4 linked regions of the Arabidopsis thaliana genome follow. The protein of the gene in region 1 interacts with the protein of each later gene in a pairwise test. Each region holds a gene or a part of one and is shown in the gene's direction. Other genes may lie near its edges.

Region 1 (4,221 bases):
CCAACGAAAAGTTATAGAGCGAGGAGAGATATCCGTAGAGGATGAAATCGCGGATTCAGTATTCATGAAGGTTAGTTAAGAGTGTATCCAGTTGTGTGAACTGATATGTGAAGTTGTCTGTAGAATAATCTTAATCTTACTGGTTTGTTATTGATGTTCAGTCATACATACCGAAATCTCTGGATGCTGTGAACAACCCTGAGGCTGACGTGGCTAAGATAACAAGCGGGCAGGACACAGGAGACATGCTATACCAAACGATAACGGGGCTTAAGGATGCTCTTCCTAAAATAGAAGAGCAGAAAATAGAGGTGAATGATGAAGAGAAAGAAGAGGAAGGAGAGGAAGAAGAAGACGGAGAAAGTGAAGAAGGAAGTGAGGAAGAAGAGAGTGAAGAAGAATTGGGTCATGAAGACAAGAAAGCTGCAAGGAAAGAGCACAAGAAGAAAGTGAAAGAGGAGAAACGAGAGTCTAGGAAGACGAAGACACCCAAATCTGTCAAGAAGCGAAAGAAGAAAGTCTCTAAACCACACAAGACTCGTTAATCCGAGTTAGAAGTTTTGACACCCCAACTTGTATTTTTATTTATATTTTGAAATTTTGTGTCAAATTCTGGGAAATCGAGTATGGACCCAAAGCTCTCTATATTTCCAAAAATAGCAAGTTCTTGTAATATTCATAGTATGACTTTATTATAGAGCCCGAAATTGGTTTGCTGCTGTTTCAAGAATAGGATTCAAATTTCTGTTCCTTTCCTCACATCCCTAACCAACTTGACAATTCGAATAATGGTTGTGTCTAAATTTATCAACTCAAGTTTTGAGATTGTTGGCTTATAGTATGAAAATTCTAATCCTGCAACTAGTTTATTTACAACATTTTTTCTTTGTTTAATGAGTTCTTGATTTTATACAGTTTAGTGTTTATGAGCTTTTCTTCTTAAGCCTCTGTTTCCATAGTTTATATCTTAATACGTGTTTTCTCTTTCTTTTGGAGCTTTGATTATCTCTTTTAAACTATGTTTTCGAAGATATCTTTGTTTTCTGCCGGTTTTGTAAGATCGGAAAATATATTTTTATTTTATAATATTAATAAAAAAGATGACAAAACAAAAAATAATGATTTTCTTTCAAACTTAATGAACATAAAAAAAAGGGAAACGAAATCTTATTTTGCCTAGCTGACATAATTAACTAATGCAACTAAATGTAGGTAGGATTAAGTAAACAAAAATATGAGACAAAATTAAACATGCCAACCTCCAGGGCATAGTCAATGGGTCAAGTCAAGCGAAAGTTGGTCTGGATCTTACAATGCAACTTAATGTAAAGTACTCATTTTTCTTCGACATGGGACATCCGCCGAAATTGTTGATTTTTGATCCATCTTTACACTTGTTTTCTCCGATTACAACAAAACATAACAATTCGACTACGATTTAACACCTAACCTTTTTAATTTTTTAGGACACGCATTTAGTATTTACGATGCAAGCCAACAAATTTAATCCAACGTATTAAACACAACTTGCTTTTTGTCAATACGTATTAAATTAAATAGTTTTCTTGCAATTTTTGTTTACACATTTCATTAGTATTGTTTTTTTCCAATATTTTTGTTTCTATGTTCAATCACTATCATATGCATAATACACATTATAATTTTGGCACAATTAGAATTACACACAAGGATTTTATAAATGTTTTTAAAATGATTTACAAAAGATTTTATAAAAATTTTACAAAAGTTTTTAAAAGATTTAATAAAAGTTTTAAAACGATTTTACAAAGAGTTTTAAAAACTTTTAAAGGTTTTAAAGAAAGTTTATGAGAATTTACAAGAATTGTAAAAGATTTATAATAATTTTTTTAGAATTAGAAAGGAGACCCTCATTTTCCACCCAAATCGTCAACCTTCTCATAATTGACAAGTTATTACACTCTCTCCACTTACTAGTTACTATAAAACCAAAGGAGACCAAATCTCTTAGCAATTATGAATTTGGTCTTCGCTATAATCTCACGTTACATTAAATTGGCTCCTGTGAACCTAAATTTATGGACTATGATCCCAACACCAATCCGTTCGACCTTCATTTCTCCGGTAAACTTCCGGTGAGTTTTTCAATTTCTTCGAAAATTTCACTTCAATTTTCGAGGTTGTGGTGATTATTCGTGGTGTTCATATATATTTTATTGCCTGATTTAGAAAAGAGAAGTCTCGGCTTCAGCTTCTAAAGTTGTAGAGAAGAAATGGTTAGTGAAAGATGAGGTTAGTTCTTTCATCGAACACTTTGGTGTGCAATACTTTGACCTCAAAATTTTTGACTATGAGTGAATGGATTAGGTTGATCAAGTTCTCATATCTGATTTAGACATTGAATAGTTTGTTTAGATCGGTGATGCTCAAAAGTTGAACAAATCAAAGCTTTGTCTTACAGCTTAGTTTGGTAATGGTGATTTTCATTTTACACAGAAGAGAAATATGCTACAAGATGAAATAAACCGGGTTAATTCGGAGAACAAGAAGCTAACCGAAATGTTAGCAAGAGTCTGTGAGAAGTACTATGCTCTTAATAATCTTATGGAGGAGTTGCAGAGTCGAAAGAGTCCTGAAAGTGTTAACTTTCAGAACAAACAGCTAACGGGGAAACGAAAACAAGAACTTGATGAGTTTGTTAGCTCCCCAATTGGACTCAGTCTCGGACCAATCGAGAACATCACCAACGATAAAGCGACGGTTTCAACCGCTTACTTTGCTGCTGAGAAGTCTGACACAAGCTTGGTAAGGAGATTTCTACTACAAGTATCGTTCTTTGAGTGTATTGATTTGTTAACGAATGTTTTGTGGATATACGTTACTTGTAGACTGTGAAAGATGGATATCAATGGAGGAAATACGGGCAAAAGATTACGAGAGATAATCCATCTCCTAGAGCTTACTTCAGATGCTCGTTTTCACCGTCTTGTCTAGTCAAGAAGAAGGTACTTTGGTTTAAACTTTGTTAAAGAGTTCTTCGATATCATCTTGCTGTCTGATTAAATTCCCTAGTTGTGTGTGCGCTTGTTTAGGTGCAACGAAGTGCAGAAGATCCATCTTTCTTGGTAGCCACTTACGAAGGGACACATAACCACACCGGACCACATGCAAGTGTGTCCAGGACAGTGAAACTTGATCTAGTTCAAGGTGGGCTTGAACCAGTTGAGGAAAAGAAAGAGAGAGGGACGATTCAAGAGGTTTTGGTGCAACAAATGGCTTCTTCGTTGACCAAAGATCCTAAGTTCACTGCAGCTCTTGCGACTGCTATTTCCGGGAGATTGATAGAGCATTCAAGAACATGAAAGTTCTCTAGAACATGTATATTTCTGTTTTGTTCTATTTTGTTGCTCATTCCTAGTAAAAAGGTAAAGATTTGTTTGATCTTGATTAGGAGGCATAGATGTCAATTTTAATGTGTGTGTATATAATTACATCAAATCTAAGTATCCAAAAAGGGTCACCCCCATTTTATCTTATGTTGAAAGAGTTTTGTTATAGCTCGGTGTAAGTATGGTAGATTGACGCTGCTTCGACAGTTTATGTATCTTCCAATGTTATCTTGTTCAGTTGTTTGTATTAACTTCCATTAGAGAAGAATGTGATGCCATTACAGACATAAAAGAAACAGAGAAACCCGGAAACAGAGTAAAACCACGAAAAACAGAGTCGGTTTAAGAGAACCAAACCAAAATAACCGGTACAGCTATAAAAAGCCAAGAAGAAAAATTATGAACCGAGTCCAAATTAGGTTACGGTTAGCTTCCAATCCCAACTTCTTCTTCTTCTTCATCTGTGTTTAGTCCCAAATTGAAGAATCAAAAGTTTCGTGTTTTGAGAATTTGACAAAAATTTGTTTATGTAATCTTAGTTTTCGCTGATTTTGAGTAAGTTATCGACATGGATATTGATGTCGGACCAGTTGATCCATCTGTCCTATACGAGCAAGACCTCCATGTTTCTTCTGCTGTTTGGGAAGGACAGGTTTTTTTCTTAATTCCCTTGCTAAATTTCAGATTTTGAATTTAGGGTTAATCTTATTTCCCCTTACTTACCTTAGGAACGAGGTCTACTTCGTTGTCAAGAACACACTTCATTGCTACATCAATGGAAACTCACTGATGAACAAATTAACCTCGTGGACAAAGCTGGTTTCGGTTACTTTCGCAAAATCGGTCCAATGAG
Region 2 (5,013 bases), on another chromosome or scaffold:
TAAATTAAAGTGTAATTACTTTCACTTCCACCGAGGATGACTTTTACAATTTGAGGAGTATATTAAATTATGTGCTTAACAATGATTTCAATAAAATATCTACACATTTGTGAAAATTGATGACGACCTGGACGATGGATAATCATATTAATTCGAGAAAGTTGAAACTAATTATAAATATCATAGATAGATTCGTATCTGTATATATTATATTATATGGTATGTATACGTAGACTTACGTTATGGATAGACCCCCACCATGTTTTTATATAGAGGCAGAAGATATTTAACTTATGGTTTTCGTTTTTTCGTAAAATATGAAACAAAGACAACGACAAAACGAAAAAGAACCAAAAATAGTATCTCATTCTACTTTCACTTGATTTTGGAATTTCATTTATTTAGATTGTGATTCAAAACCATTTCAACTATGTAAAATTCTGTGCAATATTTTTCCCAACTAAACATATAAGTTTGACATGAAAAAGAATATAGGAAAATTTAGAGGTCCAAATTTTATATGTATATCGGAATCATGGTAGGATACGTTATCAATTGCATTTGTATGAGGCTTGCTATTGCTAGTATAGAAGCATCATCAACAAATCTTAATATCAGTCCAAATTTGAATAACCCATTTTGTGGATCTCATTTCATAAAATAAACCATTTTAGTGTCCTGCAAAAATGTGTTTAGACAGAAATCTTTTTTAAAATCTGAATTTAGATATTATGATGGTTATAATTTATATATAAATTTACTATCAAATATTGTGTTCATATATGGAAGAATGGAGAAAAAAGAGTAGAACCCCACAAAATAAAAAATGGATAGACTATGTTTTCTAAGATTGGACAAAGTGTATAATAAAATCTTCTGATCTGGTCCAAAAATAAAATGTTAAGAGTTTTCGAATTCGAATAATTTGATTTTGATTAAGATATCCACTTCGGATATGTTTTCATATGTAGCTTTTTAAAATACCCTAATAAATATTTTCATAAAGAGTTTATGTAAATAAATCAAAATATATTTTTAACTTTTTATTTATTATAGTTTTATATATTACTGTTTTAATTATTTTGAAGTATTTTTGATAGATATGGATTTGGATGGTTCCGCAAACAAATCCTATGGATCCGGATCCAAAGAACCAATCATAAATTTTGGAATATGTCCACCCATATATGGATCAATAGAGATATAGTTAAGAAAAGAAAATGAATTTATCCCGCAAATTTACATTTTTATCTCATGTAGTGGAACCAATGAAAAGCGAGTAAGCTAAGAAGTCATACTCTCGAGAGTACGCCTTTCCATATTTTCCTTTAAAAGTATCTTCTGGTGGCTCACATTTCTCCGTCCAGCAAAATCTTTTTTGTTACATAAATATTATATTTCCTGATATTTTATATTAAAAGATTATCCAATTGAAATGATGTCAAAAAAGGAAAGGAAAAGTAGGGGAATTAAATAAATACATACAGTGATAATCGAAGTACCAAATCTAACTGTTTTAAAACAAGTAGATTCATTTTAAAAAATTAAATATTTGATTTTTCAAAGAGATAAATGAATAAATCTAGTACAAATTTTGTTGCAAAAAAAGAAGATGAAGAATATGAGAAAGAGCGACACGTGGCAAAGATGGACATTGAACGTGAGCCACAAGATTTTCCATCTGTTTCTCGAGCGTTCCATGGAAAACCAATAAGAATTATTATTTTTATTTTTTAAAAATTGGGAAAAAGCGCACATAGCAGAAGCTGACGTGGCATCACCCTCCTTTTTGTCTTCCCTATTTTCTCACCCCCCTAATTCCCTTCTTCCTCCTTCACAGACCCCAAACTCTTCTCTTCTTCTTCTTTCTCTCTGTTTTCTTCTTCTTCCGCCGAATCAGAAAGCTTGTCTTTTTCTTTACTCCGGCTACCAAAACTTCTCGGAGTTTCTCTGAGAGTTTCATTTCCGACCTTCTTCTTATCCTTATTTGCGGCAAGATTTCCAGCGAGAGTTTTTTTCTCTTTTCCTTTATCGAACATAAGAAATCTCTGGTTTGCTGGAAGTTTTTTTTCCGGAAGGTGGAAGCTTAGATTGGTTCTGATTTCAGAAGCAAATCGTTTGTTGTTGCCTAAGTAAACCGAATCAATTTATGGGATCTATAGAAACAGACGGAGAACAGAGGAAATTAAGCTGATTTTTTCAAGTCTAGATTCGCGAATTTATCTTGGTGTTTCCTTTTCTGTGTTCCACACCTTTCGAGTTTTTTTTTGTTTTCCTCCGCCGAGATCTTAATCCGGGAAGTTATGGCGTCGTCTCCGTTGACTGCAAATGTTCAGGTCTGGTCTCAAAATTTGATTTTTATCCACTTTTTTTGTTTTGTTTCTGCTTTATTCAGGTCTGGTCTCAAATGAATCTATGAGTTTAAAATACTGTATACGGACATTTAAGTAATAAAGCTTAGAGTTAAAGCAAGTTCGTTGCAATTCATTTGCAGACTCTTGTTTCTTTTGAGCTATAAGTTCTCTCTAGATTTGTGTGTTGCAACTACATTCATTTGAATCCTTGAGATGGAATCGACTGTGTTGGAATTTTGTGATTAGGATATGTAAATCGAGTTTAATTAGTTGGACTTTGTGAATGAATGTTCATTGAGAAACTGAAGAAGAAAGTAAATAATCCAATGCCACTTTGTGTCATAGTCCTTAAAATGATGTTTCCTAAAGTCGTTTTGCTTGATGATGGCTTTAGGGTACCAACGCTTCTTTGAGGAATAGAGATGAAGAAACTGCAGACAAGCAGATACAATTCAATGACCAAAGTTTTGGGGGAAATGACTATGCACCCAAGGTTTGTTTCTTTTAACATCAAATGTCAAATATTGTTATGTAAAGTGAAGATCTGTGGCTCAGTTCATCTTTTCTTACTTAGGTACGGAAGCCATACACGATAACAAAAGAGAGAGAGAGATGGACAGATGAAGAGCACAAGAAGTTTGTTGAAGCCTTGAAATTATACGGGCGAGCTTGGAGACGAATAGAAGGTAAATTAATGATTTAGTAATATCTCTTGCTACTGAGTTATGGCCTTACCTGGACCCTCAAAAATATATGTTTGTTTCACTAACAGAACATGTGGGCTCAAAGACCGCAGTTCAGATTCGAAGCCATGCTCAGAAGTTTTTCTCTAAGGTTTATACACTTATTTGCTATTATATCTTTACCCTTGTTCAAAGAAAGTATCAGTCTAATCTCTGTAGCAAACCTAAGTTCTGCATAAATAAGGAATCATTATACATACATTGTTTGGAGACTTGTGTTCTGACTTGGCTTTGTTCTGTTGTATTCACACAGGTTGCTCGAGAAGCAACTGGAGGTGATGGGAGCTCAGTAGAGCCGATTGTAATACCTCCTCCTCGTCCCAAGAGAAAGCCAGCGCATCCGTACCCTCGTAAGTTTGGGAACGAGGCAGATCAAACAAGTAGATCGGTTTCTCCCTCAGAACGTGATACTCAATCTCCAACCTCTGTGTTGTCCACTGTTGGATCAGAAGCATTGTGTTCCCTTGATTCGAGTTCACCCAATCGAAGCTTGTCCCCAGTTTCTTCTGCATCACCACCAGCTGCTCTTACAACCACTGCAAATGCACCTGAAGAGCTTGAGACTCTGGTACTTGACATAAACAAAACCGAATTTATACTTAACAGCAATACCTGCTGTTAGATGCTTAATGCTTAATATTCTTGGTTTAATCAATTTGTACAGAAGCTGGAGTTGTTTCCTAGTGAGAGACTCTTAAACAGGGAGAGCTCGATCAAGGAACCAACGAAGCAAAGTCTTAAACTCTTTGGGAAGACAGTTTTGGTATCTGATTCAGGCATGTCCTCTTCTCTAACAACTTCAACATATTGTAAATCCCCAATTCAGCCATTACCACGGAAACTCTCATCATCCAAGACACTACCCATAATAAGAAACTCACAAGAAGAACTCTTGAGCTGCTGGATACAAGTCCCTCTTAAGCAAGAAGATGTGGAAAATAGATGTTTGGATTCAGGAAAGGCTGTCCAAAACGAAGGATCATCGACTGGATCAAACACTGGTTCGGTGGATGATACGGGACACACGGAAAAGACCACAGAACCCGAAACAATGCTATGTCAATGGGAGTTTAAACCAAGTGAGAGGTCTGCATTTTCTGAGCTCAGAAGAACAAACTCCGAGTCAAATTCAAGAGGATTTGGTCCATACAAGAAGAGAAAGATGGTAACAGAAGAAGAAGAGCATGAGATTCATCTCCACTTATAACACATTTTCTTACGTACCCTAAAGAAGAGACTTTAAATTTACTATTCATTCGACTTTCTAAGTTTTCATCAATGTAATTTTTGTTGTTGTTTCATTGTTTTCTCTTGAGGTGTTTGTTCTCTAGGCTAAAATTTTCTGCAAAAGTTTGTAACTGTAAAACTCGTGTACAATTTATACAGTTAAATCTAATGATTATGAGATCTTTCTTAATTGATGGTTCAACAAAAGCAAGTTTCAGGTGTCTCTCTTCAATATCTCCGATTAAATTAGGTTTGGTAAAGAGTTTGCTTTGAAATGAAGGCAAAGAAGAAAAACAGTGAGGTTACCACCAACTGAACAAGTGTGTGTTCAAAGTTCAAACCCAACAAATAACCGAACCGATTCGGAAACCAACTCTAACCTGAAATTTTGATAGAATTTGACCAGACCAAATTAGACCGGTTAACACCCTTTCACGTTAGCCACCAACAGATTAAGCAGTGTCTAACGTACGCCTTATTAATACCACATAAAGACGCAAGAGAAGATGACGTCATACAGAAACAGCGTCGTTTTGAAAGCTGAGTTTTTTTTGTGAAGCGAGCGAGCGTGAGAAGGTGTGACGGGGAAGAGAATGGCGAAGGAAGCGGTCAAGTATGTATGGGAAGGAGCAATTCCTCTGCAGATTCATCTCCACAAATCCGACGTCGCTTCTCACCCTGCTCCTCCT
Region 3 (4,139 bases), on another chromosome or scaffold:
GTTGTTGATTTAGACTATAATTTGTAACGCTATACCTAATATATGTGTTGCTCCCCATTGTTGTCCTTAAGGAGATGCTATATACATATAGATACTAGCCATGCAAGGATCATTAGAAAATGAATGTGATTAAATTACAAATAGACCCTTCGAACAATGAGAATCTCATGGTTATTGTTATAATGACTAAAGATTACATAAACATAAATAACACAAACTAAACATTTGTAACAACATCAAATATCCTAACCTCCGTACTATGCACGAATTTAACGTGTGAAAAATCGGGCCGGAGAACAAACTGTTTTAAAATAAACCCAAAAATTGAAATATGAAACGTATAATATAATCTTAAATGTAGTATGAAATCTCCAAGAAAATACTAGTAATATTCAATCATATGAAGAAAAGCCATGCAACGGCTGCGAGAACAGAGCCCGAGACAGAGATCACAAGCGATGAGGCTCCTGCCGCAGGAGCCGAAGCTTCAGGGCCGTCACTGGCGCCAGTTCCGTCATCGGAAGATGGAGACATTTCTGGAGTCGGAGCTGGCGGAGAGGAGGCGGTAGGTGCGTCAGAGGAGCTGGTAGGACCTTCGGAAGAATCACCGGAGCTTGAGTCAGGGCTTGAAGCCGGAGTTTTGGCTGATGATGACTTTGGAGATGGGGAAGATGGGGAAGGGCTTGGAGTTCCGGTGGAATTTTTCTTGGCCATGGTTGGAGCAGCTGTAGGCGGTGAGGTTGGGGCGGAGGCCGTGGGTGATTTTGGGGATGCTGCGGCGGCGGGAGAAGGAGAGGTAGAGTTCTTTTCGCCGTTGGCTTTCGGTGCGTTTGCCGGTGTTGGAGGATCGGCGGCCAAGACGGCGGTGATGGCCAAGGCAGCCACGGCGAGAGATAGGAGTTTAAGTGTCATTGTCATTTTGTGGTGAATGTGAATTGCTTTTGTGGTGATTAATTATGTATTTTTGTGGTTTATGATTAGTGCTAAAAAAGATTAAAAAGAAGAAAAGAGTTATTTTTGAGAGATTAAGGAAGAGGTAAAATTTAATTTATAGGGAATTCTACAGATTTGACCAAAGTTTTGGTTGACCGGGTCCATCGGAACTTGTCTTAAAATTTTATTGGTTTGATCTTTTGTTAGTAAAAAGAGAACATGTGGTAATGATAATTCCCAACTTTCAAGAAACAATTGAGAACACGTGACTATTGAGATTGATTTTGTGGTAACTAAATGAGCACTGTTTCAACAAAAGTTAATTTTAATTTAAGCTATACAAAATACTAAGAATTAAAACTTGATTAACGTACCAGTTAGTCAATAACTCAATATTAAGTGGAAGTTCAATTGTTCAATACAAATTCATACACGTAACTGAAGAAGCACATTTAAAAGTCAACGAAACATTTACATTTCGTAAACTAAAAATAAATAAATCTACTGCAATCTTGTGAATGAGTCTAATTAGAGATGAGAAAGTAAACTGAGCCCAAAATAAATAAGGCCCATTTAAAATGTAAGGCCCATGATAATACTCATAAGCTTTGTAATCCACGACGCACGTGTTCCATAATGGCTAACATAAAAACGGCAAGCAGTCTACTTTTTTGTCGTTATCACTTTTTAACCCTTTTCGGCTTCTATCCGTCGATTCAAATCGGCGGCAGTTCCCAGCGACATTAATCTCCGGCGAGACAGTTTACTCGGTGAGTTTCGCGGCTACATAGTTTTTTTGAACTTCCTTGAATTGTTCATTATTTCGGGATATAAACGGAATTTGCTTTTCCCCGATCGTCGTATCACTGTAGAGAAACCGATACTTGATTGGTTCTTCGCTATTTTTCTCTATTTTGATATGCAATTCGATTTCACACTCTCAAATTCATAATCCTAGTTTGTATAGTACTCTATCTCGTGAAATTGTCTGCTTTTATCGATTAAGGCGTTGTTGCGTACATTGCAGTGTTTATTGAAGCTATGCCTAAAAGAACAGCAGAAGCGTGTCCATCATCTGAAATCCAAAGAAGCAGAGGAGATACTTTTGGTAGTTACAGATCTCAAGTAGCTGAGCTTTTGTCTCTAGGTGAGAGGATCTCACATCATGATCAACAAGAAGCCAATGAGAGGCATTCTGAGAGTGTTATAGGAGCTGGGATGTCAAATGTTGAGAAAGATAATTTGAATGTTTTGTTAAGGCAGTGTGTGAGGAATCTAAGTCCAGAAGTTGATGAGGTACTTCAGAGTTCTACTTCTAATATCGTATGATGAAAGAGTACTCAATATTATTGCAATTCGTTTGCAGATGCAGGAATGTGTACGCTCTCTGTATCTAATTTCTCAGCTAGGGAACAAATGTCAGTCATCGTCGCCGAGCGATTTTGTTCCTGAAGAAACCGGAGGAGCGAGAGTTCGTCTTTTACTTATATGTTCTTAATCCTCTTGCTTGAAACATACTTGTATATCTTTCATTTTGTTTTCTCAAAATTCCTTCAGGAAGATGATATTCAACTACTTCTGAGGTCTGACTCTGATATGGTCAAGAACATAACGTCACAGTATTCAAATGTTCTGCTGTCCAAAGTAATGTTCCACATTAGTATATCTAGCTTGCAGAAAGATCAATCATCTAATATAGCTAACTTCTGCATATGTTTTGTTTTGAAAGCTGGACAATATGCAGCAGGAACTCGAGAGACTTCTTGACGATGTGGTGGCGACTTGCAGGTATAGTGTGGTCTAATTGATCTCTAGTTTGTGCCATTATATAATCAGTTAAAGAGTTTTCCTTATGAGAACATTCTTTGTTGGTGGTTACTTATGTGTTAGTTGTTAACTCTTTTAAAACAGACCTATGACTCGTGGTGAAATTCGGGAGCTTCAGAAATCGATCAAGGAGCTGCCTGAGAGGAATCTCAACCGCGTCGCTGAAATAGTAGGAAATCATTGCATAGCATCTGGCAGAGATTTCAACGATAAGGTTATCGTCAACCTTGATCAGGCGGTAAGACACAATCCGTAGTTAATTGATTCTCTGGTTCCGATGAGTATTAATGGAAAACTAACAGCATTTCAACCAAACTGTGTTTTCTTCAGGACAAGGTCATGTTATGGAGATTGCATTTCTATGTAGGAGCAGTCAAGAGGCCCAGAAGCTCGCTCCCTAGCTAACTTTGGCTGTATATATATGGACTGGGATGTTGAGATGGTGTGATGGGCTAAACCGGTTTAATATATTTCCTACTTTTTTTGTTTTCCTGATTAGTCCGGTTAAGCCGTGTAGTAGTTGGTCTTACATGGACGGTTAACAAATGAAAATCGGTTCTGATTTGGTAAGACTTTGTCCTTCGTCCCATGAAGATTTCTCTAACAAAAAATCATTGACCACATCATGACATGAATCCAAAGAAAACACATAGTTTGCTAATGTGTCTGTTAGACGATTAATCTCTTTAGATAGTGTGTATCAATTTCATTATTTTTGTTTTAATCGTCTGTCATTGTATCAGTTTCGGTTAGAAACTAAGATAGGGAAAATATTTCTCGTCCTATAAGATGTTTTACCTAAGCACAAAAAATCATTAAAACGGTATTCAAGACTTTTAAATAAATCAAACAAAAACAAATTTTGATTTCAAAGTAAAACGAAAAAAAAAATCGTAACATGAAAAAAAAAGATATTTTTATTTTATTTTATTTGGAAATAAAATCTGAATAATTATTTTATGACAGTCAATAAAAAGCTATGAAATATTTCTAGAGCTTTACTAATGGGGGAAGTTTGAACTAGCTGCTTGATATTAATATAATAATTTGATTATCAACAAAAAAGTTATATTTAAGAATTAAGATTGATATATGTTAAACTTTTGGTAATTTTGTTCTAAAACCAATATTCTTTGGTTGACTTGACTATTTTATTAATATATTAGTATAAATTGAGAATGTGAATCTCCTTTCCAAACTATTCTTATAGGTTTTCTATATATATAATTTCCTACATAGCATCTAACAGATCCCCGAAAAAAGATCTCAACTACATACAATACCAACCCACAACAAAAATTTGCTTTTTCGATCTTCTCAAAAATGAAACTAAAACAAACCAAAGTGATGTTTTTCTTGTTAGTCCTAATCTCTGCATT
Region 4 (4,634 bases), on another chromosome or scaffold:
GTCGTCTAAGTCTAACATCAACCTCTCGCAGGTCCTCAACACTGAGGAGCCGTACAGCTCCGTGATGCTGGCCGTCGCTGCTCTCTTGGCCGTTGTATGCTACTTATGGATTCAGGGGAAGTCCAAGTCCAAAAAGGAACCTCCACTGCCTCCGGGACCTTGGCCACTTCCTATCGTCGGAAACCTCCCGTTCCTAAACTCTGACGTCCTCCACACGCAATTCCAAGCCCTAACCCTAAAATATGGCCCTCTCATGAAGATCCACCTCGGTTCCAAACTTGCGATCGTCGTCTCTTCCCCTGACATGGCTCGCGAGGTTCTCAAAACCCACGACATCACTTTCGCCAACCACGATCTCCCTGAAGTCGGAAAGATCAACACTTACGGTGGTGAAGACATCCTCTGGTCTCCTTACGGTACCCATTGGAGGAGACTTCGTAAGCTCTGCGTCATGAAGATGTTCACTACCCCAAGTCTCGAAGCTTCCTACTCCACTCGCCGGGAAGAAACCCGACAAACCATTGTCCACATGTCGGAAATGGCTCGTGAAGGATCACCAGTCAACCTCGGAGAGCAAATATTTCTTTCCATTTTCAACGTCGTGACAAGAATGATGTGGGGCGCCACTGTTGAAGGAGACGAGAGAACGAGCTTAGGAAACGAGCTCAAAACCCTAATATCTGATATCTCCGACATAGAAGGGATTCAAAACTACTCAGATTTCTTTCCGTTGTTCTCAAGATTCGATTTCCAAGGATTGGTTAAGCAGATGAAAGGCCATGTGAAGAAGCTTGATCTCTTGTTCGATAGAGTTATGGAGAGTCACGTCAAAATGGTGGGAAAGAAGAGCGAAGAAGAAGAAGATTTCTTGCAATACTTACTTAGAGTTAAAGATGATGATGAGAAAGCTCCTCTGTCCATGACTCATGTCAAGTCTCTCCTCATGGATATGGTTCTTGGTGGTGTCGACACATCGGTTAACGCATCCGAATTCGCCATGGCAGAGATTGTGAGCAGACCGGAAGTGTTAAACAAGATCCGACTAGAACTTGACCAAGTTGTTGGCAAAGACAACATCGTTGAGGAATCACATTTACCTAAGCTTCCTTACCTACAAGCGGTTATGAAAGAGACTCTTAGGCTTCACCCTACGCTTCCTCTTCTTGTTCCTCACAGAAACAGCGAAACCTCGGTGGTTGCGGGATACACTGTGCCTAAAGACTCCAAGATTTTCATCAACGTTTGGGCGATTCATAGAGATCCTAAGAATTGGGATGAACCAAACGAGTTCAAACCTGAGAGGTTTTTGGAGAATTCGCTTGATTTCAATGGAGGTGATTTTAAGTATTTGCCTTTTGGGTCAGGAAGGAGGATTTGTGCGGCGATAAACATGGCTGAGAGACTTGTTCTGTTCAACATTGCTTCACTTCTTCACTCTTTTGATTGGAAAGCTCCTCAAGGACAGAAGTTTGAGGTTGAAGAGAAGTTTGGTCTTGTTCTTAAGTTGAAGTCTCCACTTGTGGCTATTCCTGTTCCAAGGTTGTCCGATCCAAAACTCTACACAGCTTAAGTAAGAAGGATGTTGAATTGAGTTTTCTTGTTTAAAGTTTACTTTTCTTTATCTGTGTCTGGAGTTTTGATGCTTTGTATAAAAGATGTGTCAAGTTACATTTTTGATAACATTTAATATAACAAAGTTTTACTTACAATAATAACGCCTAATAGTCGATGCCAAAGCTATAAAACTATATTGTAGTTATATTTTTGGCAAGTCGATTAAAATTCTTGGGTCAACAAATTACAAATTAGTATGAAGGTTACAAATTAAAATTGTAATTATTTAAATTAATTAATGTATAATTATATCACAAATACTTCACGTCACACTAAATGAGTCCTTCTTAGCGGCAAAATATGCGTTATTGGGCTAGGCCCATTTATAAACGACGCCGTTTACACAGTCTAGAAACTCAACATCGTCGTTTCTCTCCCGGCGACTTTATCGCCGTCTTTTTCTTCTTTAAACTCTCTGGCTAATTTCGTTTTGCTTTGAGCTTGTGAGCTACTTCTGATTCCGGCCATCACGCAGCTTCAGGTTAGTTTTTGATTTAAATCAAACAACAGTACATGGGTTCAGTGTGTTGTGTCTCGAATGGAATTGGTTTCTGTGTTTAGATTAGGGTTTAGGGCTCTTTCATCTAAGGAAACGAAACCTAGGTTATACGAATCTCTTTGTTGGGTCTCTCTCAATACCAATACCAATCAACGAAAGGATTAATTTTGTTCATCATCTTCAACGTCTAAGGCTATAATTTGTGTTAGTTCAAATTGATTCAGAATAAAGTTTGGATTTTTACTTCACCTAGTCCTGAATTTGTTGTTCTCTGTGTAGAAAGTTTCTGTTTTTAAATCAAAGAAATGAAGAAGAAGATGATAGCCATTGGTTTCGAAGGATCAGCTAACAAGATTGGAGTTGGAATTGTGACTTTAGACGGTACTATCTTAGCAAATCCTCGGCATACGTATATAACACCACCTGGTCATGGTTTTCTTCCTAGAGAGACTGCACATCACCATCTTGACCATGTTCTTCCTTTAGTCAAATCAGCTTTAGAGACTTCTCAAGTTACTCCTGAAGAAATCGACTGTATTTGTTATACGAAAGGTCCCGGGATGGGAGCGCCGTTGCAGGTTTCAGCCATTGTTGTTAGAGTATTGTCACAGCTTTGGAAAAAGCCAATTGTTGCTGTGAATCATTGTGTGGCTCACATTGAGATGGGGAGAGTAGTTACTGGAGCTGATGATCCTGTTGTGTTGTATGTGAGTGGTGGTAACACTCAGGTGATTGCTTATAGTGAAGGTAGGTACCGGATTTTTGGTGAGACTATTGATATTGCTGTTGGTAATTGTTTGGATCGGTTTGCTAGAGTCTTGAAGCTTTCTAATGATCCAAGCCCTGGTTATAACATTGAACAGGTAGATTTCATTTGAAAGTAAAGTAAATTTGAATTCTTGAAAGATTCAAGAACAATGTTAACACGGTTTTTGGTGTTGTTACTAGCTTGCTAAGAAAGGAGAAAACTTTATTGATCTTCCGTATGCTGTTAAAGGTATGGATGTATCGTTCAGCGGAATCTTGAGTTATATCGAAACTACTGCAGAGGAGAAGCTCAAGAATAACGAGTGTACACCAGCAGACTTGTGTTATTCCCTTCAAGTAAGGCTATCACTTGGTTCTTAACTGATGAATTTTGTCACATGAATGCAAATTTTGGACTGTTTAAGAGTAATATCATGAATTCATGTTTGTTGATCTTGCAGGAGACGGTGTTTGCGATGTTGGTTGAGATCACAGAAAGAGCGATGGCGCATTGTGACAAGAAAGACGTTTTGATAGTTGGCGGTGTTGGGTGTAACGAGCGTTTGCAGGAAATGATGAGGACTATGTGCTCAGAACGTGATGGTAAGCTGTTTGCAACAGATGACCGTTACTGCATCGATAATGGAGCTATGATCGCTTACACAGGTCTACTCGCGTTTGTTAATGGTATTGAAACACCGATCGAAGACTCTACCTTTACACAACGATTTCGCACAGACGAGGTTCATGCGGTGTGGCGAGAGAAAGAAGCTGTACTACTTGGGGATAAGAAAGTTGCAGCGAATTGAGTCTGTCCCCATTTTTGTTCATTTTTCATCAAATTTGAGATTGAATCTCTCTCTACTCGATAAATTGGTTTTTGCTAAGTAGTTAAGACTTTTAAATGTGTTTTATTAGCCAAATTATATGATTGATATCTTTTGGTTTGAATGTAATAACACTTTCAAATTTCAAAGTGAGCTTTGTAAAAAGTTCAAATGTTTCTTGTGTTGCATTTCGCTATTTGTTTTATTGCTTTAATAAAAATATGATATCTCAAAGTCGACATTTCTACCGAGAATGGTGGAGAGATTAGTGCATTAGTCTTCCTTAATCATACAAAAACAACTGTGAAAATACAGCACTACTAAAAAGTAAAAAGTAAGAACTTTTTAATGTAGAACGTATGAGATGGTTCAATTAATCACAAGACACTTCTATGGCATTGCGTATTAAACGAAAAGTGAGTAAATAGAATTTATACATAATGATCTAATCTTGATCTTGCTAATAAAAATTGTAAAGGCAACAACAAGTTGTCAAAAATTTCAATTTGACGTAGAGATAAATTCTATCTAATAATTTTGTAAAAACATTCGAGATATAGTGTATCATTTTTCCATCATCTAGAACTCATTTGCGTATTTTCAAGTGTAAATCAGAACCTTGACACATAGGCTACACAAATTTTGGTCGATATTTATATTACTTTTGTAGCATAATGTGGATATCCTTCTAGAGACTAGAGTTCTAGATAAAACATTCATACATGTAACTATGTAAGTAAGCATGCATACTAAATATAAAATTTTCAAAAGTTTTAAAAGACATCATATAGATTCAAAAAGACGTGGGAAAAAGGAGAAAATGACAAAAGTTATTAGTAAAACAATCAAGTAAAAGGTCAAAGTAGTTAACGAAAAGATAAAAGTATTTCAAAAGTCTTCCTTCCATCTTGAAATGCCAAAAAATAAAAGACGAATGATTGAAGATA

What was found.
Region 2: the proteins of WRKY60 (region 1) and RVE1 interact in a two-hybrid assay, tested with the Arabidopsis thaliana proteins (one large-scale study listed by BioGRID).
Region 3: the proteins of WRKY60 (region 1) and AT3G27420 interact in a two-hybrid assay, tested with the Arabidopsis thaliana proteins (one large-scale study listed by BioGRID).
Region 4: the proteins of WRKY60 (region 1) and AT4G22720 interact in a two-hybrid assay, tested with the Arabidopsis thaliana proteins (one large-scale study listed by BioGRID).

Annotation. Positions count from the first base shown.
Region 1 is NC_003071.7:10,627,755-10,631,975, forward strand, and holds WRKY60 (WRKY DNA-binding protein 60), read left to right. Parts: upstream 1-1,907; 5' UTR 1,908-2,057; coding exon 2,058-2,114; exon of another isoform or gene 2,115-2,208; coding exon 2,209-2,271; exon of another isoform or gene 2,272-2,475; coding exon 2,476-2,784; intron 2,785-2,867; coding exon 2,868-2,984; intron 2,985-3,071; coding exon 3,072-3,341; 3' UTR 3,342-3,659; downstream 3,660-4,221. Other genes in the region: AT2G24990 (Serine/threonine-protein kinase Rio1), read left to right, coding at 1-70, 162-545; AT2G25010 (Aminotransferase-like, plant mobile domain family protein), read left to right, coding at 3,937-4,020, 4,097-4,221. UniProt on the Arabidopsis thaliana protein: Transcription factor. Interacts specifically with the W box (5'-(T)TGAC[CT]-3'), a frequently occurring elicitor-responsive cis-acting element.
Region 2 is NC_003076.8:5,689,726-5,694,738, reverse strand, and holds RVE1 (Homeodomain-like superfamily protein), read left to right. Parts: upstream 1-1,746; 5' UTR 1,747-1,814; coding exon of another isoform or gene 1,815-2,039; 5' UTR 2,040-2,303; coding exon 2,304-2,336; intron 2,337-2,748; coding exon 2,749-2,847; intron 2,848-2,928; coding exon 2,929-3,040; exon of another isoform or gene 3,041-3,107; coding exon of another isoform or gene 3,108-3,126; coding exon 3,127-3,188; intron 3,189-3,350; coding exon 3,351-3,665; intron 3,666-3,761; coding exon 3,762-4,304; 3' UTR 4,305-4,513; downstream 4,514-5,013. Other genes in the region: AT5G17305 (uncharacterized protein), read right to left, coding at 1,815-2,039; autophagy protein Apg5 family, read left to right, coding at 4,918-5,013. UniProt on the Arabidopsis thaliana protein: Morning-phased transcription factor integrating the circadian clock and auxin pathways. Binds to the evening element (EE) of promoters. Does not act within the central clock, but regulates free auxin levels in a time-of-day specific manner.
Region 3 is NC_003074.8:10,146,975-10,151,113, forward strand, and holds AT3G27420 (bromodomain testis-specific protein), read left to right. Parts: upstream 1-1,580; 5' UTR 1,581-1,703; intron 1,704-1,960; 5' UTR 1,961-1,974; coding exon 1,975-2,229; intron 2,230-2,299; coding exon 2,300-2,404; intron 2,405-2,490; coding exon 2,491-2,577; intron 2,578-2,662; coding exon 2,663-2,721; intron 2,722-2,844; coding exon 2,845-2,998; intron 2,999-3,090; coding exon 3,091-3,165; 3' UTR 3,166-3,446; downstream 3,447-4,139. Other genes in the region: AT3G27416 (uncharacterized protein), read right to left, coding at 397-918; AT3G27415 (uncharacterized protein), read left to right, coding at 401-928; AT3G27425 (ECA1-like gametogenesis related family protein), read left to right, coding at 4,084-4,139.
Region 4 is NC_003075.7:11,935,049-11,939,682, forward strand, and holds AT4G22720 (Actin-like ATPase superfamily protein), read left to right. Parts: upstream 1-1,893; 5' UTR 1,894-2,095; intron 2,096-2,392; 5' UTR 2,393-2,418; coding exon 2,419-2,976; intron 2,977-3,061; coding exon 3,062-3,217; intron 3,218-3,321; coding exon 3,322-3,669; 3' UTR 3,670-3,921; downstream 3,922-4,634. Other genes in the region: CYP706A2 (cytochrome P450, family 706, subfamily A, polypeptide 2), read left to right, coding at 1-1,570.